Linked DNA regions of Notamacropus eugenii. The protein of the gene in region 4 interacts with the protein of the main gene of each other region in a pairwise test. Links are inferred from orthologs where the notes say so. Each region holds a gene or a part of one and is shown on either strand. Other genes may lie near its edges.

What was found.
Region 1: the proteins of SGTA (region 4) and FERD3L interact in binary tests that used the Homo sapiens proteins (3 or more experiments, as listed by UniProt). The two-hybrid records come from large-scale screens. The link is inferred for Notamacropus eugenii from reciprocal best matches to the Homo sapiens genes SGTA and FERD3L.
Region 2: the proteins of SGTA (region 4) and TFRC interact in binary tests that used the Homo sapiens proteins (3 or more experiments, as listed by UniProt). The two-hybrid records come from large-scale screens. The link is inferred for Notamacropus eugenii from reciprocal best matches to the Homo sapiens genes SGTA and TFRC.
Region 3: the proteins of SGTA (region 4) and CD99L2 interact in binary tests that used the Homo sapiens proteins (3 or more experiments, as listed by UniProt). The two-hybrid records come from large-scale screens. The link is inferred for Notamacropus eugenii from reciprocal best matches to the Homo sapiens genes SGTA and CD99L2.

The regions. Positions count from the first base shown.
Region 1 is NC_092874.1:11,736,821-11,742,596, forward strand, and holds FERD3L (fer3-like protein), read right to left. Parts: upstream 1,054-5,776; coding exon 520-1,053; downstream 1-519. UniProt on the Homo sapiens protein: Transcription factor that binds to the E-box and functions as inhibitor of transcription. DNA binding requires dimerization with an E protein. Inhibits transcription activation by ASCL1/MASH1 by sequestering E proteins.
Region 2 is NC_092876.1:336,315,863-336,323,253, forward strand, and holds the start of TFRC (transferrin receptor protein 1), read left to right. Parts: upstream 1-4,384; 5' UTR 4,385-4,485; coding exon 4,486-4,488; intron 4,489-7,391. UniProt on the Homo sapiens protein: Cellular uptake of iron occurs via receptor-mediated endocytosis of ligand-occupied transferrin receptor into specialized endosomes. Endosomal acidification leads to iron release.
Region 3 is NC_092879.1:70,371,418-70,378,979, reverse strand, and holds the start of CD99L2 (CD99 antigen-like protein 2), read left to right. Parts: upstream 1-4,543; 5' UTR 4,544-4,805; coding exon 4,806-4,875; intron 4,876-7,562. UniProt on the Homo sapiens protein: Plays a role in a late step of leukocyte extravasation helping cells to overcome the endothelial basement membrane. Acts at the same site as, but independently of, PECAM1.
Region 4 is NC_092875.1:62,997,570-63,005,066, reverse strand, and holds the start of SGTA (small glutamine-rich tetratricopeptide repeat-containing protein alpha), read right to left. Parts: upstream 3,020-7,497; 5' UTR 2,935-3,019; intron 2,565-2,934; exon of another isoform or gene 2,444-2,564; intron 2,134-2,443; exon of another isoform or gene 2,059-2,133; intron 1-2,058. Other genes in the region: THOP1 (thimet oligopeptidase), read left to right, coding at 5,462-5,489. UniProt on the Homo sapiens protein: Co-chaperone that binds misfolded and hydrophobic patches-containing client proteins in the cytosol. Mediates their targeting to the endoplasmic reticulum but also regulates their sorting to the proteasome when targeting fails.

The DNA.
Region 1 (5,776 bases), on a different chromosome or scaffold from region 4:
CTACCCCCAATTTTGTCTTTCCCGTCTAGGAAGGTCCATGCCCTCCCTCGTCTCCACTGCCAGCTGCCACATTCCATAAACTGGTCAGGCTTCAAGAGGAGCAAGTGGGAGTATTTATTATTTAGTTGCGCAAAAGTCAGAGAAAAGACACTTCAGAAGGAAAGGAGGAAATCGGACCCCAAGTCCATCCCACCCAGCAGACTCCCTGTCCAGAAGACAGTGCAAAGGAGTATCCCAACGCTCTCCTGAAGCAGCCCCGCGCCAAGGTTAGGGAGAAGTGACTCTCTCCTCCCGACACCAGTTAGAGAGATTTGCATATATTAAATCTACAGTCTACAATTTCAGGACAAGCTAGGCTTTAGGGTGTAGGGGACAGGTTTTCCAGAACTGTTTCCCAGGTGAGTGCATTAGTGGCCCAGAAGTCGTATGTTCGTTCTGCGAGGACCCACTCTGAGCCTCAGAGCTGTCCCCCCTCAGCTCTAAGCCAGCAGCACTCTGCTGTCCTGGAGCTCTCTCTCACTAAGGCCGGGCTCCCTGGTTCGCCTCCTGTTTCTCGCAGCTGGCCAGCAGCTCCGTCATGAAGGAGATATATACGATGGCCAGGCGCAAGGTTTCAATTCGGGATAGTCGCTTCTCATAGGCGAAGGTGGGCACCTTCTTCCTCAGCTGGTCGAAGGCTTCATTGAGGTTCAGCATCCTCTTCCTCTCCCGGATGTTGGCCGCCTGTCGCTGGGCCAGAGTTATTACCCTCTTCCTCTTGGGGCGGCCCAGAAGTAGCGAGGCACCTTGTAGGGGCTCCGCTTCCTTGCCTCCATCTCCCTCGCCATCTCCCTCCCTTTCCTCCTCTTCTTCTTCGTCCTCCTCTTCCCCCTCGTCCTCTTCCTCGAAGGGCTGAAATCCCCGGGCCATGCCCTCTCCGAGGGCCAGGGCCTGCTCCCCCAGAGAGCCCCCGGGGGCAAGGTCATAGAGAAGAGGGCCTCTAGGGGACACCAGGGAGAGATCAGCCACGAAGTCCAGTACCGTGGTGTCCACGAAAGAGTCCTGGCGCTCCATCGGGGGCAGTGGACCCTGTGGCGGTGCCGTCTCATGGAGTCCTCCCCGTAAGGGTGCTTCTGGGCGGACTGACCGCGGACTGGGACGCCTGATCGATGGCTCCGAGGAGATGCGAAGGTGGATGCCCGGAGTGCCTGCTACTGCCCCAGACCCAATCCCAGCCTCGCCTTGGAGTAAGCGGCCATGGAGATTGATCCCAGAGCAGACAACAGGATTAGTTGCACCGAGGACTCTTGGCAAATATCCCTGCTCCTAAAGCTGATGGGAGCAGACAAGCCTGAAGCCAGCTGGAGGGATGCATAGTCTAGCACAGGATTTGGGACTGTTTCACTGCGCCAAGCAGAATAGTTCCTCTTTGGTCGGGCACCCCAGAATTCCCCTGGTTGTTGCTCCTATGTTCCTTTTTCCACTCTGGTCCCCCAGCCTCAGGATGGACCTGTCTCTCCTGCTCCTGTTTCTGGAACTGCTGACTTAGGAGCTGGGTGCTGGCTTTTGCCAAGTGAGGGAAGGGGTAAAGTATTCTCTAGCTAGAGTCCTGGCTCTTCCGTGACCACCCCCAGGCTGCCAAGTGATGCGAGACAAGTGTCTGGATGCTTTCAATGAGGTCCTGAAGAGGGGACCTGACCGTCAGAGGTCACCGGGGAATGTTGACCCTGTCTCCCAGAGCTGGGAGAGCTGAATGGCAAGACCTCCACTCGGCTAAGTAAGCATACTGGGGGAGCTCAGCTCACATTCCCCAGAGTCGCTGTTGGAGCCGTCTTTCTCTGGCTGACACCTCCCGCAAACAGCTCTCTCAGTCCGTTCTTCTGCAGTGAAACCTTCAATCCCCCCTCCCCGAAAGCAAGTTTAGTTGCTATCCTCGCAATGAAAGAAGAGATATTTCTTCCCCTCCCCCCCTCTCCCCCGTCTCCTCCTTCTTCAGGCTTAGGGAGAGCAGTAGACATCTGGGAGAAACAAGAAACATAGGCCAGAAGTTGGTCGTACCCCCTCAGCGCTTGGGTTCCTCAGTGACGCTGCTAACGCACTGGCACTGAAATGAAATCCGCTCCTCCTTGTCTAGGGAAAATCGGAGCATGGCTCCAGAGCAGCGTCCAGGGTTTCTTCATTCTCCTTCCCCAAGGTTATTTGCCCTTCGACCAAAGAGCCAGTCGATTAGAACATCCTCTTCCCTCTCCCCTCGCTGAGCAGAAGGTCGATTTGCCCATCAATAATTGTAAGTTTATGAACAAAGGGAAAAAAGAAAACACACCCACAACTCCTCAGCTGATTGATTCCTCATCATCGATCGGTGCTCTTCAGACAGTAGGACTTGAGGTTGAGGCAAGCTTTTAATTAACTGTATTTAGGGAAGGCAACATCTGAAATGTTTATGAGACCTACATCCCAGGATACCACTTCTTATTTTCAGAGTGAAGGGGAGAGATATTAAGCTTGATCTCCTAAGGAAATAAAAAGATTGGACAATATAGCCAGTATTTGCAACAGCGGTGCCGTTTTGTTTTCCCCCTTTCAAAAGCTTTTTATTTTTGGATATTTAACAGTTTAACATTTAACAAATGCCTGTGAATAAGAATAAAAGTGAAGTAAAAAAAAGGAATGTGAATTTTGAGGTTTCAAATAAGCAAATATCTGTAAAAGATATAAAAAACAGAGAGATGGAATTTTTTTTTTTAAAGTGAAAAGAGTGAGGATTTTCTTAGAAAGCCTCACTTTAGGCACCATCAGCAACAAAGTGAATTGTCACTATAGTACATGAAGTACATTGGACAGCTCCCACAAATCGGCACGATTCATAGCAACCGACTTACAGGTAAGCTTAAATAACCACACCGGGTCTTGGCAGCCTGACAGTCAGCAACCAACCTAGAGCTCCTTTGAAGCCTGATCTTTGAGTCCTAAATTTTTATTTCCTCTCAGCCCATTTGTCTACAAACTGAGATCCCTTTTGGCTTACCGTATTTACTCATTCTCTCCTTGTATCCTGGAGTATAGCATGGCAATAAAAACTGTTTCCTATTTTTCTTGTAGGACCTAAGTGACCCACAAAAAAAAAAGATTCAAAGTGTCTTTATGCTTGATCATCAATTCAGTGAATTTGGGGAAAAGATTGAGAAGTAGCAACAACAATAAAGGCAAAGAGTTAAATCACCAAGAGGTGAGGAAGCAGAATCCTGTTTTAAGGCTTGCCATGGGTTGTGAAAGATAGCTAGGTGACTCACTGGACAGAACAATGAGTCTGGGGTCAGGAAGACCTGGGTCCAAACTCAACCTCAGACATTTACTAGTTGTATGATCCTGGGCAAGTTACTTAATTTCTGTTTGGTTTAATGCACTAGGGAAGGAAATGGCAAAGTATTCCAGTAATCTTTAGCAATAAAAGCAGCAGATCCCATGGACAGTATGGTCCCTTAGTTCATAAAGAACAGCAAGAAATGGGTTGCAAAAGGAAACAAAGTCTTTCTAAGTTTCTATCTAGATTAAGTGAAATCAGAATTCCCACTGGTTCCTTCGTGCCTCAAAATAACAGCTGTGGAATAATTTTATATTCAAAAGTATTCATTTTTATCAATGGGTTAATAGTTTAATTTGTGTGTAGAGAGACACCTGGAAGTGGCAGAAAGAACACTGGACTTAGGGAAGACACATTTGGGTTTGCATTCTACATTGGAAAAAAAGTTAATCCCTCTGAGACTCAATATCCTCTTTTGTAAAATGATACGAGCAACTTAGAGTCATTGGCAGCTAGTTGGTACAGTGGACAGAGCCCTCTGCTTTGATTCAGTTCAAGTTCCAATCCTGTTTCTTGTCTGAGTTTTTATTCTGTCGCACACAGTTACTACCTGTTTGACTCTGGACAAGTGACTTAAACTCTCTCAACCTCAGCTTCCTCATCTGTCAAATATGGAAAATTCTGCAGATGGTTGTTGTGAGGATCAGCTGAGATAGTATAAGCAAGGTGCTTTGAAAATTTGAAGTATCTATCATCAACATCCTTTTTCTTCTTCTTTTTCTCCTCCTCCTCTCTTTTTTCTTCTCGTTCATCAGTATGGTAAAATAGAAAATTGATGACCACAGAGTCAGGAATACCTGCTGTCAAATCATCCTTTTGACTCAATTTGGCAAGTTATGGAACTTCTTGGGGTGCTAGACAACTTCCCAAGGCTATGCTTCCAAACTGGTACTTATTTGCCTTGACAGGAAGAGATTTCTCAATGGGGGTTATCTAGTCTAATGGAATCACAAATCCATTACTTACCCTATCAGATAAAAGCAAACAATAGAAATATAGCATATATTTTAGAGGATTTGGTGAAGATCTAGTGAAATAATGCATGCAAAATGTTTTGCAACCTGAATATATTATATAAATATGGATCATCACTATACACATCCTTTGGGGCTAGTTATATCAATCAAAAATAATACATTGACCACAAAATTTACTTTGAGAATGCTGATTAAAGAGATTCAAAAATAGAGATATGCTTTCAGCATTAACACACACACACACACACACACACACACACAAACATACAAACACAGATAGACGCTCCCTTATAGTTGTGGCTAATATAGGTACAAATAAGAGTCAAATGCTAACCAGTCATAAAAAATAGTGCAAAATTGTTCCATAAAAAATAGACAGTTCACAAGTTACAATGGCAGGCAGTCTATTACAGCTGAAAGAACACTGAAAGTCAGGACAGTATTTCTAATATTCCCTCTGCTGCTCATTGTCTGGAGTCCTTGGATAAGTCACAGCTCATCTCAGTAACTCTTTGCTTCTCTACACAGCGGGGAGCAGAATGCATTTGGAACTAAAGCTACAAAATTTTCATTAAAATTGACTTGTTTGCTTAAGAGTGTGACTGTCCCTGAATTAAAAATTAATTAAATATTAGTCTCCTCCAGCCTAATTTCTTACAAAAGCTTGTTTCTTATTTTCTGAGATTATAGAAAAAATATTTTACTCCATAATAACTTTAACTTATCTTACTATGCAATTTAATTTAGAAGGCTGAATTGCAGACCAAAAATTACTGGCAATTTTTTCTTTTAATAAACAACATGTAAAATAAAAATTTAAATAACTTTTTTAAAATAAGAGATTACATAGCATGATGCATAGAGGGAAAGTTTTGGAGTGAAAGAGATCTGAGTCCAAGTTTTGTCTTTGACACTTATAAGCTAGGTGACTGTGGACAAATCACTTAAGCTCTCATTGTCCAATGACATTTATTATGCCTGCAAGTAACAGAGTAGTTGTTAGCTGGAGTTAATGAAGTGTTTTTGACCACAATAGGTCATCTCTAAATAGCTGAAATCACAAGTTCAGACCAAATAAAATTTTAAAAAGGATACAAATAAAAGACTGGAAAAAACAAAGACTATTAGTGCCTGCTTATTTTTAAATACTCTCTAGTAACGTTATCTTTTCAATTAAATGTAAGCTATAGATATATGTACTTAAGTTTGAATTCAGTGTTACTAAATTCATAACCATGTTGTAGCTCACTGTCAAATTATCCTTCAAGTTTTTACCATTTCATGCTGTCCAGTGATAATAGAAGTAGGTGTTCTTTTCATTGTATAGCTTTGGAAGAAGAGATGCCAAAATTAACCACTTAGTCATGGGTCAAAGAGCTGCAACGCTGGCTGGGAACACAGTTGATCTTGGTTCTAGCCCTGCATATTATAATTTAATCTAATATAGTGATCTGTT
Region 2 (7,391 bases), on a different chromosome or scaffold from region 4:
GTAGGAATTGGTTCACTCTTTGTATAGTACTTGGGTTCCCAGTGCCTAGCATGGTACCAGGGACACAGTCAGTGCTAAATGAACACTTGTTGATTGACTCATGGTCACTTCATTCAAGAAGTCAGGGTTTCATTGATTTGATAAGTCAAAACATGTTTGGTCTACTCAAATGATATGCTTTTTAAAATCAAGATATAATTATCAAAATAGCTAAGCATAAGAAGCCACTAACTAAAATATCTAAATAATATTTAAAGGGCTACACTATTTAGAGTAGGAAATGAAAAAAATAAAACTGAACCTTTGTTTAGCACTTAGGGCTCATGAAATCTTTGAATGTTGCAGCCTCAGTGACTGCTTCTTCCTCTGAATTCCTTTATTCTTTGTTTAACTCATCAGACACTTGGCATATGCTATTTTGTATGTACGTATATGTATATATAATATATATGTATGTGTGTATACACAAAATATTTAAATTGTTGTAAATTTCCTGCCTTCTCTTTATCAACTGTGAAAATAGCTAAGCAACTCCCCTGCTTGTTGAAAATTTATAATTCTGTTATTTGGAATTTTTTTCATTTCTTCAGTTAAACATTTAGATAAAGGAAAAAGACATAAGAAATATGAGGCAAATTCCAAACTTTCTAAGCACAGACTCAGTTCTATGTTGCTATCTCCCAGTTCTTTTGCAGTATTAAACAAAGAATACTTATCACCCCATTCATTCTCAGGTTTAAAAGCAAACACTTAACTAATTAAAAAAAATTAAACTGATAATTGGTACTTGCTTTCTATCTTGTCTCAACTCAGCTTGGCCACTGCCTTGCCATGTGACTTTGGGAAAGCCATATAAATTCTCTGGGGCTTAGTTTCTATATTTGCAAAATAAGGAGGTCAGACTTAATGGTAGTTACTAGGTTTCCTTCACTGGAGGTCTTCAGACAAAGCCTGAATGACCACTTGTCTGCTATGGTGTATGGAGGATTCCTTTTCAAGTATAGGTTGGACTAGGTGACTGAATTTCTACCTTGAAATTCTATGATTTTCTTCTCCCTGCCCATATGTGAGAAACTAAAACTGGAAGTGATCTCCTGCTTTAGAATTGTATCACATCTTAAAGCTCATGCCTTGCTGTGAAATTTCCAATCAAGTGTAGTTCCAGCTTAGAGGAATACTATAAATAGTTTTCTCATTTTTAGCAAAGCACCTCAAAAAATCTCTCGTGTAGTTTTTGTAGGCAGAATAGAGAGATATGGACCAGATCAGGGGTGGGGAACCTGAGGTCTCGAGGCCAAAGGTCTCTAGGTTCTCAAGGGTGGCTCTCTGACTGAATCCAAACATTACAGATTAATCCCCTTAATCAAAGGATTTCCTCTGTAAAACTTGGACCCTGTCAAAAGGCCGCACCCAACGACCTAGAATGCTAATGTAGCCGCAGGTTCCCTACCCCTGGACTAGACAATACTACATTTCAGTAGAATTGGTACACAGTAAATGCTTAATAAATTTTCATTCATTCCTTTATTCATTCAATCAACTTAGAAGAAAGTCTCTGCAGTATATTCCAGAAATCTGTGCTTGGTGCTGTGCTGTTTAATGTTTAGTAATGACTTGGTTAAAGACACAAATAGCATACTTATCAAACTTGCAGTTTGAGGATGGGAAGAGTAAAAAAAGATCTTGACAAGATTGATCATTGGGCTATATCTAATGAGATGAAATTTAAGAGGAAGTTAAGTCTTTAAGAAACAAAACACTGACTTGAAAGTTCAGAGAACTCATCAAAGGAGAGGGACTGAATTCAGGGAGAGCAGTTAGGAGTAAGAAGTGATAAAGACTTGGTCTGGGGTGGTTGTTAATAGAAAAGAAGATATGCAAGAGGAGATGGAGTAAACAAGACTGGGTAACTGGTTAGAAGGGAGAGAGAGTAGGGAGATGCGGATGACTGCATTGTAGTTATTGCAAACCTCGGCTACTAGAAAAAATGGTGGTATCCTCCATGGAAACAAAACCGTCATGAGGACGGTTAGATTTCAGGAGAGAGGCAACAAGTTCTATTTTCAGTATTTTAAGTTTGAGATGTGTTTAGGACATCCAGGTGGAGATGCCCAACAGGTGGTGGGAAATGAAAGACTAGAATTTAGGAAAGAGGTGAGGGCTAGATTGGAGAGTGACCTGCATAGAGATGATGGTTCAGAAAATGATGAGACACAACAGAAAGAACAGAGATGGCCCAGGACAGATTTCTTGGGTGTAGGTTACCTTGTTCAAGGACCTTTTGATTAGTAATATTGTTGTTTAGTTGTGTCTGACTCTTGATGATCCTACGCATAGCACACCAATACTAACGATGGGGTTTTCTTGGCAAAGATACTGGAGTGGTTGGCCATTTCCTTCTTCAGTGCACTAAGGCAAACAGAAGTTCAGTGACTTGCCCAGGGTCACACACCTAGTACGTGTCTGACACTGATTCATACTCAGGTCTTCCTGAGTCCTTTATCTACTGGTCCAGGTATCATACATGGAGAAAAATGCCTGTCACAGGTGTTCATCAGGGTCATGGAAGAGATTCAGCTCAGAGTCCAACTCAAAGAGAATTTTCCCACAGACTCTGAATTTCCTTAAGTCTTCCTGCTCGCATAGGGTACTGAGCGGGTTACAGGAAACCCCAGAACACTGCAGACTTGGGGGAGGCCTGGAATCATCCAAAGGAGTTTGACTTCACTATCCACGCAGGAAAACCCGCTGGGAGAGTCACGACACACAGTCAGACAACCTCTGTGGACATGAGAGGTGTCATTACACCCCACAGCCTTGGAGACTCTGAAGGAAAGGAGGAGAACAAGAACCGTTTGGGGTAACGTATCACCAGCATCATAGCTCAAGGGTATGCCTCCTCAAGGGGCGGAGAGGGAGGGCATTTGGAACTCAAAATTTTTGAAAAATGAGTGTTAAAGTTTTTAAAAATGCAATTGGGAAATATGTAATTAAATAAAATACGGAAAAGGAATGCTTCGAAGAACATGACTTATATAGAATTTAGCAAAAAAAAAAAGGAGTTTATTAGGTACCTACTGGGTGCCAAGCACAATCCAACTTTGGGGAAAAGCTCGGCGCTCCTGGCACGGTGTGACTTTGCCCGGAGCGCCCGAGGCCCCTCAGGTGCGGGGCGTCCGCTCTAAGCCGTCTACACCGCAGGACCCGGCTCGCTGCACGTGGGAGCCCGAGTGGCGCCGCGGCCCAGCTCCCGCTCCGCTTGACGGCTGCGCACGGGCACGTGGTGGCCCGGCGGGAGGAGTGTGACGTTCAGCAGGGGGGCGCCGGCAGAAGACGGAAGAGCGGCGCCGGCCCATCCCCCCGGCTCCCCCACCCCCGCGGCCCTCCTCCAGGCCCCGCGCGCCCTCCCCGCGTCTTGCTCGCGCCGGCGCGCGCACCTCCCAGGTCCCGGCTTTTGCCTCCCACCGGGCTGGAGGGGGCGGGGGGAGGGGGAGGTTTTTGGAGAGCTAGAGGTGCCTACGTGAGCGAGGAAGTGACGCAATACCGGGCTAGCCTATAAGGACGGGGGGCGCTCGCGGCCCCGAGGCTCCAGGTTCCGTGGGCTCCGGCGGAGTGCTGGGTACCGTTTATTAGAGCGGCGGCGGCGGAGGACGACCCGAAGTGAGTGACGCGAAACAAAGGGCTCCCCATGGCAGGGCTCCCCCTCCCAGGGCCTCCCTATCGCAGGGCCCCCCCCAGGGCCTCCCCATGGCAGGGCCTCCCCTCCGGCTCTCCGTTCTGCGGGGATGAGCGAAGCCGGCGTCCCGTCCTCCTCCCTCCCGGCGTTTTTCCCGGGTCTGGTCCGGGGATGCCGCGCGGGGCTTTCCCGCAGAGATCGGAGAACGGGATAGGAGAACGGGACCGGACTTTCCCCCAGCCCCGCTCCCCACCCCGTGCGCCCATCTTCCCGCCCTGGGAGGGGCTGGAGCGCGCGCCTGGCGGAGCGCACTGCAGGTGCATGGGGGCGCCCCCAAAGCGCCCGCGCGATCCTCGATAGTTGGGAGAGCGCCCCCTCCCCTCCTGTGCGCCCCCGGGTGCCGGCTCCCCCGCAGCCCCGGCGATCAGCCTCCGCTGCACGCCCCCCTCGGACCCGTGCGCTCCCTGCCTGCTTCCCCCACGCCCGGGCCCCGCGTCTTCACCGCCCGAAACCCGAAGCCGGGCGCTGGAAAGCGCCTGAGGCTCGGTGGTCCTGGGCGCGGGAGGAGGGAGGCCCCCCGCTGTGCCCGCGCCTGCTGGAGCACGTGGCCCGCTTCAGGAAGTGGCCTCGGGGAACGAGTGTCAGGTTCTGCGAAGTGACCTTGAGCCCGGAACCTTGCACTTCCCGGGGTTGGGGGGCCCCCATTCCCCCTGGGGGGCGGCGGGGCGGCCGCGTGTAGTCCAGCCTGGGGGACTGCGGCTTGGGCCGCCTTGTGTCTGCGTACAGGGACCGAGACATCTAGCCCGCGCATGGTGCTGTTCTTTAACTTGACTTTTTGGTCCGGTATCTCAGATTGTTTCATAGTTTAGGACCCTTGGCATCAGGCTGAATATTGGAAGTCTCTTTAAAAAAGAGCAACCAACAAGTTAGTTTGATAGTAGAGTTTAATTTACTTAAATTATAGAATTAAATTATAGAATTAAAGCTAAATAATTAATTTAATCTACTCGTCCATTCCCTGAGATGGGGCCCAGGTTGTGAAGGGAACTGGGGGGATCGATGGGTGAGGGCCCAGGTTATGAGATGAAGTGATAAAAGGGTCATGAGCAATTTCTTGGGGAGACCTCTGGAGTCTTACTTGGATTAGAATTCATCTTTCATGTCTGGTTGGGGAAAAGTGTTTATTTTTAGCATTAATATATTAATTTATAATGTTTAATATACTTCAAGGATCGTTCTGTTAATATCGTATGGAGAATGATGGGCCTAGGTACAGGTTTTGGGGGAGATCTTAGCCGGTACCTTGGAGTATAGGTGGGGGGAGGTGCTTTTTCCACCACTACACACAACTTGTATTTCTCCTATTCAGGATTTAGCCGGTTCACCCAAATTTGCTGTTAGCCACTTGTAAAATGGCAACCCTTTTATTTACTACTGAAATTTTAAGTTTTTTTGAGTAGTTTGGATTATATGAATCTAAAGGACATCTCAAGTACAACATTTCTTTTCCTTATGATATATCAGAATTTACGATCCTGATATTGCAATTTCAGTCAGCTTGCAAAGTAAACATGCACTAATGGCTGAAAATCTGTACCTTGTACCTTATAAGTTTTTTTATAGAGGTGAAGAGAACTTAAAAAAAAAAAAAAGCTTTGCTTTGACCCAGCATAGTTGCTTCTACCTATGGCCTCAGGGAAAGTTGGAAGAGAAAGCTGTGCTGTCCCGAGTCCTCACACACCTGATACCTTTCATTCTGGCTTTGCAGATAGGTCTGGAATACAAGTTGCAAATTCAGTGATCTCTTGTAAGCTCAGAAATTTGACCTCATTGACCATGAAATAAAGCTGACATCCAATTTTCCTCATATTGCTTCTTCCAAATTAAGAATGGTGTTTTCTGTAGTAGTATGCCACAGAACTTCTCTTCCTCCCTCCCCCCAGGTACCTGTGTAATAGAAACAGTGGTGCTTCTTACCTTGGAATATGGAGCATGTGACAATAAGACTTTTCATTACCCTGGCAAAACTAGTCTTGGATAGGTAGTTCTTGCTCCATAGGAGCAAAGCCAGAGTCAACGACTGGGTTTGGGAAAGTTCATTTTTACATAAATTGTTTACCCCAAGTAGGAGTTATTTGCTACTAGATGCAAATATATATATGCAAAACAAGGGTTGTTTCATTTTTTGTTTGTATCTGCTCAGCATGTAACACAATGCCTGATTAGGGAATCATTACATTATATTGCTTGTTAATCGGTAGTCTGGAATGGAGTGTTGTTATATGGTAGTCTTTTTTCATCATTTTTAATAATGACACCCAAATTATAAATAATAGAAACTAGTTGATACTAGGTATAGGAGCCCCACCCAAGATCTCCAACATATTTCCAAGCTGGTTTCTTAGTCTGGTTTGCTAGGTTGTGACCTTCCAGTGGTAATACAAGTAGTAGACTTGGCTGACCTTCCCTTTTATGAAAGCATTTGGCAGAGTTTCTCATATTGCCCTTGTGGACAAGATGGAAGCTAGACTGTAGTACAGTGGAGTGGATTTGGGTCAGTTGAATGACTGGACTTAAAAGGTTTGATGGCTAATACTAATTTGGAAGAAGGCTATGCCAAATGCTCCTTACTGTCCTAGACTCCAAGTTACTGAATTTTTAAAATTAGGAACTTTTAATAATTACTTTAGTAGAGGCATAGCCTTTAAGATATGCTTATCAAAGTTTTCAAACAGCCTGTTATGTTGGATGACCAAAAGATCTGCAGACAGTTGAAAAACTTTAGTAATACATTGTGACTGGCAAAAGAAAAAAAATTGCTAGGACTTTGAATCTGCAGTAAGAAATTTAATATTTGGAAGTCCTGTATTTTGTCCTGATCAAACCAAATCTGGAATATTATATTTATTTCTGGGTGTTTAATTTTAGGAAGGTCTAGAGTGATTCCAGAAGAGGAGGATAACCAAGATGGTAGGAAGAATAAAGACCATGTCATAAGGAACTAGGAATGTATAGCCTGGAGAAGTAAAAGGAATGGGGGGGAGGGTAGAGTATGTGAGAATATGATAATTATGAAAAGGAATGCTGTGGGATACAAGATGGCTCAGATTTAAGAACTATATAAATGTGAGTTACTAATCCTGAACCAAGTACTTTGTTTTTTTGTCCCTAGAGAACAGAACTGTAGGAATAATGTGGTGATTTCAGTCAGTTTCCTAATAGAAATGACCTGAATTAGCTGTCTTGGGAAGTGGAAAGTTGCTCTCACTAAAGATCTTCACACACTGATTTGGATTTCTGTGGTAGATGAGGTGATTTTTGAGCTACTGTTCCATTTTTGAGTTTCTGTGATGGTGGCATAAACCATATGATTCTTTTCAGAGTCTTTTACTGTGTGACATTTGACTAGGTTTATCAGTTAAAAGTGTTAACTTCTGTGCTGCAGAGCAACTTTCTCTGAAGCAAATGGCTACGTAATTAAAGGTGTGGTGACTTTTGGTAGTTCTGGCACTGGAGATTTGGTCTAGTGTAGGGGCTATGATAAGTCACTTCCCAGAATAGTAAGAGAATATACTTCTAGGAATTACATTTCTTGCTTGAACTCTGGTTTTTCCATTTCCCGCCTTAGGTTCTTTGGAAAATGACCTTGATTCCCTTTTTAGTCTATAGGCTCTTAGGCATTGTGGACACTGTCTGTAATTCACTTTATAGCCAA
Region 3 (7,562 bases), on a different chromosome or scaffold from region 4:
AGACTCCTCAAACAGGAAAAAAAAAAAGACAAGTCAGCAAACACTTATATAATAATAGCTCAGATTTCTGTAGTGCCTTAAGATTTACAAAGGCCTTAAGGCTGACACCACTTGCAAGTAATACTGCTTCCATTTCACAGAGAAGGCAGCTGAAGCTCAAGGAAGTTGAGACACAGTTAGTAATTGACAAAAACCAAGTTCAACAAGTAGTAAAGCCAGAATTCAAACCCAGGTCTGCTGATTTGTTATTTCAGTGTTCTGTCAACTGTAGACCATATTGCCTCTCTCTTTTTCAGGAGACCAACCAACCCTTTCAGGCCTGGGTTCTACAAGCCATAACAATAAGGGCTTCTAATGAATTTAGCAAATTGTTCAGTGTATGGAAAACTGAGAGATGGGTCAGGTTTTGAATTAAATATTCTGAGGATAGAAAATTGTGGGGATGAACTTTATGATTTTTGTCCTGTCTGATTTCTGTCACGGAAGGGATGGGGAGGGAAGGGGTGGCCATATGAAGGACCCACATTAGAGCAGCAGTACCACCTGCTGGATACAGTACTGGCCTTGAATTCACACAAACCAGAGTTCAAATTCTGGATCTAAAACATATTGGCTTTGTTACTCCAGACACATCACTTAACCTCTCAATGACCTAGCCAATTCTCGAGACTAGAAGTTACAGAAAAATTGCTGCTTTGCACGGTGAAGGGTACTGGTGGGTTTTCTCTTTAAGTTTTATTGGTGTCTTTTGTTTCAATACCACAGTCTTATATTTCTTCCTACCCCCGCACCAAGCTATTGTGTCAAAGAAAAACATTTAAGCCAAATTGACAATGACCTTCTGTGACAGTGCATGCTGCCTTCCTCACTGCTGGTCTTCCTTCTCCATCTCCTTTCCTCCCACCACCTCGAAGGAAAGAATAGAGGTTTGCTCATTGTGATGGGAGTTCCCACACTGGCAGTTTCCCTATAGTGATTACAGCATCATTGATTTGGGGTTGGAAGGAACCTCAGAGGCTACCCAGTCCAATCCCTTCGTTTTGCAGATGAGGAACCAAGGCCCTGGATTCAGGAGCCAGAAATGTTAGGCCCTGTTCTTTCAGGGGTCAGGTGCCACTGCTTGAAAAAGGCTGCAGAGGAAATTGAGCTGAGACAGACGTATTCCTTGCCAAGTTCCTATGCAGATTTCCCAGGAACTCAGCCGAGCCTATGAAAGAGCTTGAGAGAGCAGCCTATCCCATTGGGAAACCATCAAGGCAAAAAAAAAAAAAAAAAATTGCCCTAGCTGGGTGACACGCAGTCCTTCAGAGGGAGACTAGGTGTTCTGAATTTAAATTTTTGAGCCAATGGAATCATTTTCATGATAATGAGGCCTTGAAAAAGAGAAAAGTCCTGACTCCATTTTATGCAGCAAGCATTTTTTATGTATCTGCTATCTGCCAGGTCCTTTGCTGGGTCTACAAAGTCAAAAATGAAATAATTCCTGCCCTCAAGGAACTTATATCATACTAGGAGGGGGTGAATGATATGCATATAGATAACTAAATACAAAATATGCGTAAAATAAATACAAAGTCATTTGGGCTGGCAGACGCCTCTAAAAATGGGGATGGGGGTGGGGAATGATTTGGAAAGGAGGCATTTGAGTTCAGCTTTGAAGGGATTTAGGGATTTCAAGAGGCACAGGTGAGAAGGGATGGTACTCCAAGCATGAACAAAGACGTGAAGGTGGGAAAACGAATGTAGTATATGGAGAACAGCATGAAAACTAATTTGGCTGGAATGGAGAACAAGAAAGGGGAACAATGTGAAACACAGGTAGGTGGTGCTGTGGATAGAGCACCTGCCCTAGAGTCTGGAGGATCTGAGTTCAAATCCAACCTTAGACATTTGACCTTAATTATGTGACCCTGGGCAAGTCACTTACTCCCAACTGTCTCACCTGAAAAGAAAATTATTCTGGAAAGATAGATCAGAGCCAGATTGTAATGGGCTTGAAATGTGAAATAGAAAAGTAGTTTGTATTTTACCTTGAAGGCAACTAAGAATACTAAGTTTTTTGAGCAGGGTAATGACATAATTAGATGTGACTTAAGAATATACAATACCTGGGGATTTAAATCTCCAATTATAGCTATATTTTTACCTATTTTTTCTTATAGTTTAGAAAAATATTGTCTTCTAGTGTATACATGCACACGCACATAGTTGCTATGTTGTCTGGCACATATGACTACAGAAATATTTGTTTCCAATCAACTAAAACTTTAAAAAAAATCCATCTTTTTCTTCCTCTTGCTCCATCATCTTGCTGTTGAATGCTACGCTGTCAAAGGTAGAAGAGAACTTAGAGACCATGTAGTGTAATCCTCATTTTGTAGATGAGAAAACTGAGGCACAGAGAGAGGAAGTGACTAGCTGGTCACAAAGGCAAAACTTGAACGTTCCAGGCCAGTGTACTTCCTATCTTCCCATCCCTCCTCCCACCCCAATCTCCTTTGTGATTTTATCTTTTTTAGAGAAGGGATCCACAGGGACTGAAACTATGAGGGAGAGGGAAATGCCAAAGAGAAAACCAAAGTTATGAACCTGGTATGGTGGATCAGTGGTGTTGCTATGTACAGAAACAATGAAATCAAAAGGATGAGCAAGCTTATTTTGAAACGTTTCAGGGCTAGTAGGAGAGGTTGAGATGCGTAGGCAATTAGAGAGGGGGTGGTCTGAAATTCAGAAGTGAAGTAAGAACTGGAGATATAAATTAGGGGGTCACCTGCAGAGAGGTGGTAATTTAAGCAATTGGGAATAAATGAAATTGACAAGGGACAGAGTATAGAGAGATGAGAAGTCACAAAAGTCACCAGTGGGAAGATGGGTAGGCTGATTTACTGCTGGTGTGTTTGTGAAATGGTGCAATCATTCTAAAAATCAATTTCATGCAAGAAAAGATACTGAATTGTTCAGACCCTTTGACCCAGAGATCCCACTATTGGGACTGTATCCTAAGGTGGTTTTTGACAGCAGGAAGGGGACCCATAGGTCCAAAAAAAATGTTCATAGCAGAACTGTTTATGATAACGAAAGCAGGAAACAAAATATAAGTCTAAAGACTGAGGAATGGCTGGACAAATTGGGATATATGAATGTAAGGGCATATTGTTGTGCCCTAAGGAATGAGGAACTTAGCCAAACCTGGGGAAACTTACAAGAACTGATGGGGAGGGAAGGAACTGAGCAAAAAGAACAGTCTCCACTATGATCTCAACCATATAAACAAAGTCAAAGGGACCAGGCAACAAAACCCTGGTCTATTACACCAGTCAATGTTAGTACTATAAGGTCAAAGTTAAAGGACACAGTCCTCCTTTTTGTAAACACAGGATGCTTTAACTTAGAGGAAATGTACTTTGTGTTTGTTTACCAGCTTGAGAAGGTTCAGTTGTATCAAAACCAAAATGAATCCATACATTTTAACAAAAAGAAGGGAGAGACAAGGCCTGAGCCTAATGGAGCATTGATTGACATGTATAGTTGATTAGTAAGATGAGAGAACCAGTCAACTGAGAAAGAATGAGCAATGAGAGAGGTGCACATAAGTCTAGAAGAACTTGGCTGTCATTGAAAATGAGGAAGGAAGGGCCTACTTAGCAGGAGACTGTGGTTGAAAGTGTCAAAAGAGGGATCAAGGGGGATAAGGTATGAAAAAAGGGCCATCAGGTTGGGTTAAGTGGTCGTTTGAAGGAGCAGTTTCAGGAAGGTGATGGGGTCGCCAAGGGGTGGCAGCGAGAGTAGCTTGTGAGGAAGATATTGGGCATAGATGGCCTTTTGGAGAAGCATAGCAGTAAGGGGAAGATAGAGATGAGATGGTGGTGGGATGGGCTAGAAGGGTCCAGAGGTTTGGATTGGAGAGATTTGGGAATATTTGTAGGTAGATGGGAAGAAGCCTCTCTGGCCCTCCGCTTTCTCATCTGTAAAACAAAGGGGCTGGAACAGATGACAACTAGGAGTCTGCCAGAGTGAAAGTTGCAGAGAGGCAGATTTATGTTTAATTGCAGGGAAAACTTTCTAGCAATGAAAGCTGTCCCCAAGCTTAATGGGCTGTCGCTTGGGGAGGCAGAGGGTGACACCAGAATTGGGGCGCTGGCAAACACTTCTTGGGCTGCCTTCAGGGTACCCTGTTACTGGTCTGCTCTCTTCCCCTCCTCCACCCCACTCTGGGCTCCCAGGGGGCTGGGGCGTGGTTGGAAGGCGCCCCAGGGTGAAACAGACAAAGGCTGCCCCGCCCCTTCCCTCCCTTCTCCCTGCCCCCAGCCCCACCCGCGGGCTCTCTGCCGCAGTAAAGTCACACTGCTGAATCAGGCCCTGGCCACTGCCTTCTCCTCCAATCACGGCCGGCCCGGCCCCGGCCCCAGCTCCAGCCCACCCGTTGCGGCTCCTGCCCAGCCTCTGAGGAGCCTTCTCTTTGCAGTATTTCTCTCATCCCCGCCCATCTCCAATCAGTGCCGTCCTCACCCCTCCCCTCTCCTGTCCCGCTCCGCCTCGCGCCAGCCACCCACTCTCTAGGCCCGCCCCGCGCCTGCCGCGCTCCGGCCGCGCGCTGCGTGTGCGTCTGCCCTGTGCGTGCGCGTGCGCGTGGGCGCGCAGAGGGCTGGCTCTGCTCTTCGGGAATCTCGTCTGCTCCGGCCGCCTGCGCCTCCCCCTCCTCTCTGGGAGTCGGCTCTCTCCTCTCTCCCGTGTCCTAGCGCGCCTCCTGGTCCTCTCGGGCCCCCCCCCTCCTCCATCTGCCCCTCGCCACTTGCTCTCCAGCCATGTTCTGCGGGGCTTCAGCGCGCTTCCTAGTCCTAGCTTTCACCTCGGCCTTCCTGCTGAACGGAGGAGGTAAGGCTGGCCTGCGGCCTTCTGGGGTGGGGGGGAAGGGGGACCTAGAGAAAGAGGTGTCCCCTTCCCCCAGCCGCCGGGCCTGCGTGACGTCGGCTTGGCAGGTGCTAGCCGGGCTTGGCCCGAGGGGGGAGGGGCGGGTTCGGGCCGCTGCCTTGGGCTCAGCTCAGCTTCCCCTCCAGATCGTGGGCACTTCTGGCAGCCCGACCCGAGACCCTACCAGAGGGCGAGACTCAATTCGGACTTGGTTAGCCAGCAAGGAGGGAGGGAACGAGTTAGCTAGCCTGGCAAGTTGTCGGGCAGCCACCTTTGGGGCATCGCACCTGGGGGTTTTCGAGGGAGGGGTCGGGAGGAGGATCTGCCTTAGCCCAACTCTTGTACTTTGGCCTAAGTGAACGAGTGAGTGGGTGGGATGCCTGTGACTTTTATTTGTCTCCTCAAAGTTTGCCATGCTTTGCCACACTGCCCTGCTAACAGGGGTTTTGGGGGTAGCCACGTTGGAAACCCTTGCTTTGAGCATCCAGGTGTTTTCCCAGCTGCAGAGGAATGGCCTGCGCACTGTATGCGAAAGTCAATGCTTTTGCTGCTGAGCAGCTCGGGACACCTGTTTCAGCAGATTTGTGTCATTGTTTAGCCGATGGGAGGAGAATGCACCAGACTGAACTGTGCTCTTTTTCTGGAGCTAAAGCATTGTCCTTTCTGTTTATGGTGCCACACATGTGGAAGTTCAGTCGTTGCGCTCATAATGGCAGCAGGATGAAAGCTGTTTGAAGAATGGAGGAATCCCGGGGAACCCAACGGCTTTTTTTCCTGCCAAATCGACCCTTTCACGTTTTAAATGCATACAGCCTATTGAAGAAGGGGCTGAGGACTGTAATTACCAAATTCCAGACTGGTTTTCATAACCATAGGGCTTAAACCATTAGGGTTGGGAGCTAGAGAAGCGGGCACAGGGCGTTTTAAACTAGAAGTTCATAGGTTTAGAGATGCAAATGACCATTTAGTTCAGTCGTCTCATTTTAAGGAGGCCCAGAGAAGTGAAGTCATTTACACAAGGTCACATTGGTAATAAGTGGCATAGTAGAGGATTCAGATTTGGGTTCCCTGACTCCATATTAAGGCTTGTTGTGCCTTTGCAGGAAAAATAGGACTGATCATTTTTGCCTTTTTACTCAATTGGAAAGCATTTTTCCTGATTGGAGACCATACTACTAAAGTAGTCTGCCAAAGTGGCCTTAGGTAGAGAAAAGATTGACTCGTATGTATGTACAGATAGGCAGAGACTATTCAGTTTTGGGCTTTCTTGTCAGACTTTGCCAAGTTCCTCTGGGCCCAGTGAGGTCACAGATATTAGAAGCTAAAGAATTCCTATTGGTTGTTTTTGAACTTGAACTCTCTAAACTGCTCTATTGAAATAAAAATGCAGCTTAATAAATGCTTGCTGGATCAAATGATCTTAAAGGTTTTGTCCAGCTGTAAGGATCTTTGATCAGATTTGTGAACTTTATTTGTAATTGACTTGGCAAAGACCTCAGTTTACCACAAAAATTATCCAGAAGCCTGTGTTGTTGTGCCTCAGAGTAATTTCATGTTTAGGCCTAATTTTCAGAAGTTGAGATGAGAATTCCAATAGGACTCAATTCTCAAGTGATTACTGAAGCCAGTCACAAAGAGAATAACCATACGATTTAAAATCCTGTCAGGGCCTCAGCATGTGGAAACTCGGTTTCAGGTTCTTCAGACTTCAAAGCGAAGGAGAAACCATTCCTTTTTTGGACTATAATTATGGATGGTAATTATCAATTCATTGTGTTATTAGTTTTGGAAGTCCTTTGAGGACAAATTACCAAGCTCTAGTGGAGGCCTTGAGCGCATTTAGGGTTAGGATTTACCAGGGACAGGTTCTGGTTAGGGATTTTGGGAGCTGAAGTTCAGATGTAGGATGTATCCCTGCTTACTTTATTTATTGCATATTTTGAAAGAATGAAGTGTTTCTCATGAAGGAGATATCTAGAAATCTGTGGATTTACATACTTTTTTTAAGGACTAAAATTTTAACTCCTTTGGGTAGACATTTCTAAAATATATGATATACTCTGCTTTCTTAAATAGAGTGTACATATTTCAATACTTTAAAAGATACAGGATTTTATTAATGCATGTTATACCCCTTTCATGCTTTAGTCTTTTATACGAAACTAGCTCTACATTTCATACTGCTTGCTTTTTAAAAAAGTGTGTAATCATTTGAAATATTGCTTTCAAAACTCCTGCTTGTTGGTGCTTCCTTCAGAACTTTCTTCTGTCCTTTTCTGTTCATTAAAAAAAAAAATCCCCATTTAAATGATTATTAAAAAAATTCCCATTGGTAATACTCCACCCCCCTCCTCCCACCAATTAAAAACTTATAGAAGAAAAAAAAAACCCTCCTAAGAATTAAGCGTAAACAAACCATGTCCCAAAATCTATGTCTCTGCACCTTGGGTCTTTCATTTTTCTGTCAGTAGGTGGGTAATGTGCTTCACCATCAGTCCTCTGGAGATATGAATTGTCGTTGATCAGAGTTCTTCAACTTTTCAAAGTTTTTATTTTAATACTACTCTGTTCTATATATGGGTTTTCCTACCTCTGTGCCTTAGTCCAGAGGTGTCAGACATTCCAGCCTGATTAAAATATAATTGGGAAAT
Region 4 (7,497 bases):
TATGTTCATTTCAGAAGTTGTTTTTAACAAGAAGAATTAATGTTAGTTCCTAGAAAGGCAGTTTATGGAGCTGGAAAGGGACCTTAGAGAGGTCATCCAGTCCAACTTCCTTTATTTTACAGATAAGGAAACTTGAGACCCAAAGAGAGGAATTAATCTGAGCCACATTCTCCTCACTTATAGACCAAGGCCCTTTTCCATTTCTCGAGGCTTGCCTCCCCCTGTGAAAGCCAAAATGCAACTTTCTGGGCACTGCTAGTTAAAACAATGGGGCTGGGGGCCAGAGTATTTTCAAGGAAAGTCATCAAGTATATGTTACTTGTATGTAACATGCCCACTGTATGTGTGGTATTATTTCTATTTACTCTTTTATGGTTATCTAAACTTTCACTCTTCCTCAGCACTAAGTCCATGTTCTGCAACATACCAAGTGGGTGCTTTTTAAAATATTTGCTAGCAATTTTTAAAAGGCTTCAGCAGTTCGCAGAAAGCATCTAAAACAGTTGCAATCAGTCAAACAGGAGAGCTTAGTGTAGACAATTCTACCAGAAACAAGCACTAAATTAACCAAAAAGTTCTTTAGAGCCTGTGAACCTTTTTGTTTCTCTTAAAGCCTTCAACCCACGAACATGAAATTTAAGGTGAAGATAAAATTTATCAGATAAACTGTTGTTCTTGGAATCCTAGAGAAGGAAGGGTTTTTAGAGATTCAATTTAGCCAAATGAAGAAATCAAAATGTGGCTCAAAGTCACACAATGAGGGCAGAACCTGGACCACAGGTTCAGGTCTCCTAATACCCAGGAAAAGACTTCAAAGGGAATTAGCTCAAGGATTATTACCCTCCACTTTCCTAGTGAGGAAAATGGAGTTTACTTTCCCACATTCAGACAGCTGGAAGAGGCCAAGTCAGCACTCAACCTCCAGTGTTCTAGCTCCTACAAGCTCTATGCACAGACTACAAAAAGGCAGGAGGCTGGAGAGCTACCAGGGTCACCTGGTTTTGGGATGGAGTCAAGAACTATATTTGGAGTCAGAAGACCTGAATTCAAATTCTGATGCCCAGGAGCTTATTGCCCAAGTGGCCTCAATTTCACCATTTAAAAAATGAGAGGGTTGGACTAGATCTCTAAAGGTTCTAAATCTATGATACTCCAGGACGTCTAGGAGTCTCTTCAACCTTAAAGTTCTATTACAACTCCATGAGAATATAACTTTATCCATTATTACTCTGGGATACAACTTTTGAAGCAGGGTCAGAACTCCTCTTTCAATTACTCTCTAAAACGTTCAGGACACTGAGCATGAACATTATTACCCAGCCAAGCCTTGGGTGGTCCTCGCTGTCCCATATAACCCCTTCAAATTATACATTGTTATCGTTACAATTTAACTTTTGTCCTTCCTGAAACTGTCAGTACCTTGAGAGAGGGAATTTTTTTTTCTTTTTATTTCCACGACATGACATAGTAGTAGAAGGAGTAGTGGATTTATAATCACTGGACACGTATTATCCTGGCTCTGAAACTTACTAGCAGTGTGGCCTTCAGCAAGTGCCATCACTCTCCCTTGGCTTCAATGTTCTCTCTGTAAAATGAGGGGAACAGAACCAATGATCTCTAAGATCCTACGATGGGGCCATAGTTGGAGCCCAATGAAGGCTTGCTAAGTTGAGCAGCTAGGTGGTAGAGTGACTAGAGCGCTAGCCCTGGAGTCAGGAGGATCTGAGTTCAAATCAAAGTCACTTAACCCTGACTACCTTTACAAATAAAAAGAGTAAATAATTCCTTTGTTTCTTTTGGAAACAAATCAATATCTCTTCTATGCCTGTCCCTCAGCCAGTCAAAAGACAGCAAAACCTGTTGACTATAAGAAGACTTCCATCCCACTTAGACCTTTCTTGATTTCTGCCTACTCAGCCATCAATCAATCCTACCCTCCCACAGCTCCACTAAATGACCAGCAGACTGTTATTGGTTGGGGCAGTACGGCAGCTGTGTTAGAAATGGCGCTGGACTGGGAGCTAACACAGCTTTTGGGGGTCTGGCTCTGCCACTTACCGGCTAAGTGACCCCTGGTAACCCACTTCATGTCTCTGAGTCTCTGTGTTCTCACGTGCCCCGTGGGGCTGTCATGCCCTCCTACCTCACAGGGGTGCTATGAGCACCCAATGAGATAACACCTGGATGGGGCTTTGCTTTCAAAGCACAGCAGGAGTGTGAGGGATCGATCGCTAAGCCCAGTGCAAACTATTAAAACCAGAATCTCTGGAAAGGCTTTTTTTTTTTTTAAACGTGAATTAGAGCCTAAGACGGAAAAGAGCCCTTAGACTTAGGTTTAAGTGGCAGGGGTCTAATATTTAATAATGACCTTGGACAAGTCCCTTCCTCTCCCTGTGCCTCAGTTTCCTCCACTAACGCTACGAGCAGTTCTGGCCCTACCTACCTCACAGGAGAGGACTGGGTGCGGTGGCGAAACCTTTGGACTGGGGGATCCGAGGCCCCAGGTTCGAATGCGGACGGTGGGGGGGGGGGAGAGGGGAGAGACCCTGGACAAGTCCCTTAGCTTCTCCGGGTCTTAGGCTCCTCCGCTGTAAAAGAAGGGGGTTGGCGGGGGGCCTAGGAGAGAGATTCATGGACTCTGGGGAAACGGGAGAAAATGAGCCCTTGCTCAATCCTCGGGCCCCTCCGCTCCCGGAGCCCGGACCCTCGCCCTCCTGCAGAGGCCGCGGCTTCTCCACTGCCTTCCACCGGAGGAGCCGGAGCCTGGGCCGGGGCCTCCCTCCTGCCGGCCGCCCGCTCGCCTCGGGGAGCCGGCCGCGCGGGGCAGAGCAGCCGAGGCGCACAGCTCCGACACCCGGGGCGGAGGAGGAAGGGCGTCGCGGCCTCCCTGCCCTCAGCCGCTCGGCGGCCGCCAGCGCTGCAGTCGCCACTCACCTTAACAAGCTGCCGAGCCCCCGACTCCGCTCCGCCGCCTGCTGCGCCTGCGCCCACGCCTGCGCACCTCGCCGGTCGTCCCACCTCTTCCCCTCTGCCATGGCGATGGCGCGGAGGCAGTGCCCGGCTCCGCCCCCTCGCGGTTCTCGCGGGCCTCGGCCTAAAGACCTGCGGCGCAGGCGCGGATGACGACGGGCCCTAGATCAGGCAGAGAGAAGGCCCGGGCTGTAGTACTATTCACCGACCGGAAGTCTCGGTTCCAGGCTTTGCGTTTTGTGGGCCGGAAAAAGGAGGCCCGGAGTGTTGCATTGTGGGAGGACTCCATCCTCTCCTCCCCCTCCTCCCCCGCCCGCTCTTTTTTTTTCCCCCCCGCAAAGAATGATGTCATTTTCTCTTATTCCGTGACGAATTCGGTCACGTGCGTCTGCTCGCGTGCGCCCTGTGCCTGCCACTTACTTCAACTGTAACTTTGTAACTTTGGACAGCTCACCTTCCAGGCTAAATTCCGTTCGACTCAAAGAGCATCGTATCAAGCGCCTTCTCTGTAAGAAGGATACAAAGACAGACGGACGGACAGACACAAACGACCAACTGCCCCTGCTCCCTAGCACCTTCTGGTCTTCAGCCTCTGAACCTCGTTTTCCTCTTTTGCAAAATGTATACTCTTAAAAATTACCAACATTTGTATAATTTATAATCATATGATATATAGACATACTTTGTGTTCATATAGACCATATAATTTCCGTTTATAACATATATGTATATAATCTATATTTGATGTATAAATGCATGTAATAGATAAGTATTATTTCAAGTTTTTTTGTATTTATATGTTATGTAAATGTATAGTATATTTGTATATTGTATATTAATATACTTACATAGTAAAGCTTTGAAATTTGCAAAGCACATTACATGAAATTAATCCATTTGAGCCTCCCATCAACTGTTGTGTAGTTAGATAATATATTATTTGCATTTTACTAATGAGAAAATTGGGTGTCCCAAAGGATAAGTGATTTGCTCAGTCTCATAAACAACATAAGAGTTCTATAAGTTCTTACTATGTGAGCAAAGCTCTGGGCTAAGTGCTGGGGACACAGATAAAAGGAAAGAAGAGGAAACTTACCCTCAAAGAGCTTAAATTGTAATGATGAAAGACAGGACATAAAGAGAAGCAGCAGCCTACCCCACTGGATGGTTGGGAGGAATTTCACAGAATTTTGAGTTGATAGGCAGCACCACAGGGTCCACCTAGGTCAAGAGAATCTTTAAAAAACATCAACGAAGACCTTTTTTAAAAAAATTTAATATTTTATTTTTCCCAATTACACGTAAAAACAATTTTAGCATTCTTTTTTCAGATTTTGAGTTCCCAATCATCTCCCTCTCTCTCATCCCCCTCACTGAGAAGGCAAGCAATTTGACATAGGTTATACATGTGTAGTCATGTAAAGCACATTTCCATGTAAGTCATGCTGTGAAAGAAAACACAAAAAAAAACCCCAACAACAATAAGAAATAGAAAGCAAAAATATCTTCAATCTGCACTCAGCTTCCATCAGTTCTTGAAAACCTTTTGGTAAGGCTACCAGCTGCTGCCTAGGTTGAGGCAACTTCTTTCATTTTAGAAAAACTAATGAGTAGGAAATTTCCCTTATTTGGAGCCTGAATCTGTATAAGGCATGATCGGTTCAGACCCCCTCACCGTCCTTGTCTTCCTCCTCTGGATCCTCTCTAGTTTATCAAATGTTTTGTCCAAATCCATGATTTCACAGAGCTCCTGGTGAGGAAATTCCCTGCGCAGATGGAGAGCCCCAACTGTTCTGCAATTTGTTAGGGAAGCTGAGGGCACTGAGAAGTTGTAACTTGCCTAGTGAAGATCACAATATGTGTTCTAGGCAGGACTTAACCCCAGGCTCATCAGTAGCTTTCTTAAATTAATTTTTTTTCCTTTGTAAAACTTTTCCTTTGTAAAACTCCTTGAAGGTAGGAGCTGTGTCTTTTTTTGTCTTTGATAACCCTAGTACTGGGGACGCAGAGCTAGTAGGCATCTAATAATATTTGTTGATTGTGAGTTAATAGAGCACTGATTTTAGAAAAAGAACATGGATTTGAATCAGGACTCTAATCCCTCTATAGGCCTCTGTTTCCCCAACTATGAAGACTTTGGACTATATGCCATCTAAGGTCTTGCCCTATGGAAATATGAAAAGTATTCAGTGTTTTAAAGCAATATTTAAATGCAGTGGTATTCAGAAAAATCAACTTTTAGCACAAAGTAAATTATGAAACAATGATATTACCTCACATTTGTATGGCACTTTGTGATTTACAAAATGCTTTCTTCACAATGGTGTTGTGAGGTAAGTAGTAGGTGGTAGTAGGAGGTAGTAGGACCTAACCAAGCTGACAGGGTTATTAGGACTTCTAAAGGTAGGTCTCTTCACAGCCTTTTCCCTACATCAAAGACAGTACTAAAATAAGTGGACTTGTCAAAAATTCTCCTGTTTCTGAAGAAGAAATGAAAACCAACCCAAGACTAGCAAGGGGTAGGCCAACTATGATTTTATTACAGTTTCATGATGTATTATGGTGGAACCATCTCAAAGAATTCAGTGTCAGACTGATGGGGTGCTTGGGTGCCTGTGCTTGGACCCCAATTCTAAAATCCCATTTCTCTCTAAAAATCACATTTCTCACTAGCCTCAAAACACTATCTCAGGCAGTTTCTCCCCAGCCCAAGGACAGCCTGCCCTAGATCTCTCTTCCTGATACAGCAGCCAGCTGCCCCTATAAAATTTATTCGTTTGAACCAGCTGCGTACTGGGTCAAAACAATGTTTACTCCTCACTGACCAATCATATACATCCTCGACTTAGACATAAGTATACTCCCCTCCTTTATCTTGTCTAACAAGACATTGATGGTAACAGCCTAGGTATTTCTCAGTCAGCCCCGACTTTTAGTTGACTTAAAGGCATTTCAGTCCTAAAACCATACCTCCATGTAGCACCCCCTTTGGGCTATTTCCTACTGAACTCTGGGTAAAATAGCGAAGTAGACACTAAAAGTGTCTTTAAGTTCCTTTAAGAACTAACTACTCTTTAACCACTCCCTAATCTCACCCAGAATCACCTAGTTAGCATATCTAGCACATGTTTTACTATAGACTATCCTATATAAACTTTAACTGTGTCTCTCTAAGGTCGCAGGTTCCCTAAGAACTCTTGCCCACTGAAAAGTATAATAAATCTTTACCACCTTTACCACCTTGACCTCAAGAATGCTTGAGTCTGTGAATTTTCCAGACTACCTACACCCAGGGAACTTCAGCTTTGGGGTTCCTGTATCTTTCCAGCCCTCATGAAGACCACCTGTAATCCAAGTATAGACATTTATTGAGATTGACTCCTCTCATGAAGTCAGCTAAGTTCCAAGAGGAACCAGCAACTTCAGAAAAAGAGAGATAGATTTCTATAGGGCAAAAATGCAATTAAATAGCAGAAACTATGAACGTTAAAAAGGCAGGAGGAGTTTGTTAAGGGATTAGGTAATGGGGAGGGGACCCAGCTACAGTGGAACTGTGTATGCAATTACCCAAAATGCAGACAGACAAAACTTTTTGGGGGGTATGTATGTATGATAATGATATTATAATAAGGCTATGTCATAAAGTTCACCTAAAGGGTAGTTTTTGCCATTACTGAGCAGGTGCCTACTTAGGGAAAATCCTTTCTATTGTTTGAGGGTCCACATCTCGCTTGGGCATCCTAGTGGTGCTGCTTTCTGATTGGCTGAGTATTGTGGTCCTATCAGAGGCTAGATGGATGTGGTTGTGGTTGAGTGCATGGGCATACCTGCCATTTCTGTGGGAAATATGAGGAATGGGTCTGGGGATAGTAGCTAGCTAGAGGCAATGGCTGGGATCTCATCACATGGACAGGCCTAATGTTCCATGAGAAATATGAGTCCATGGAAACACCTGTGGTTCCAGTGAGCAGTGAGAAAAAGTTAGGATATTGAAAGGGGTTGGGGGTGTGAGTGGCTAGGTAGGTGCAGTGGGCCTGCTGTCCAGTGGGGCCTATAAGGAAGTTAAGATATTGGGGTTGCAGGCTATTTTATTAGGATTTCATCAATTTCTTCTGAAGAGAGAGGGGAAAAAATCGCAGACTTCTTGTAAAGCCAAATTAAAAGAAGTCAGCAGACATTCCTCTACTAAACAGCAAAATCAGGAACTACCAAACCCTAGAATCAAGTGATTTAACATGGATCTCCTCATTAGCTATTGAGTGACTATACAGAACCTCATCAGTTTCCTCAGCTATAATATGGGAATACTACCTTCCTCTCTGGGTTGCTATGAGGTTCAAATCAAATGACATATGTAAATTATCATTTGGCAAGGCTCAAAACACTTTGTAAATGTAAGTTATTATTAGTCCTATCCCTAGGACTCCCCTGACAAATTCATTTCTGCAACTGGGCTGAGTTAAACAGATTGATAAATGCATAACTACAAACTTAACTAGCCCACTCTATAGCAGACCACCAGACTAG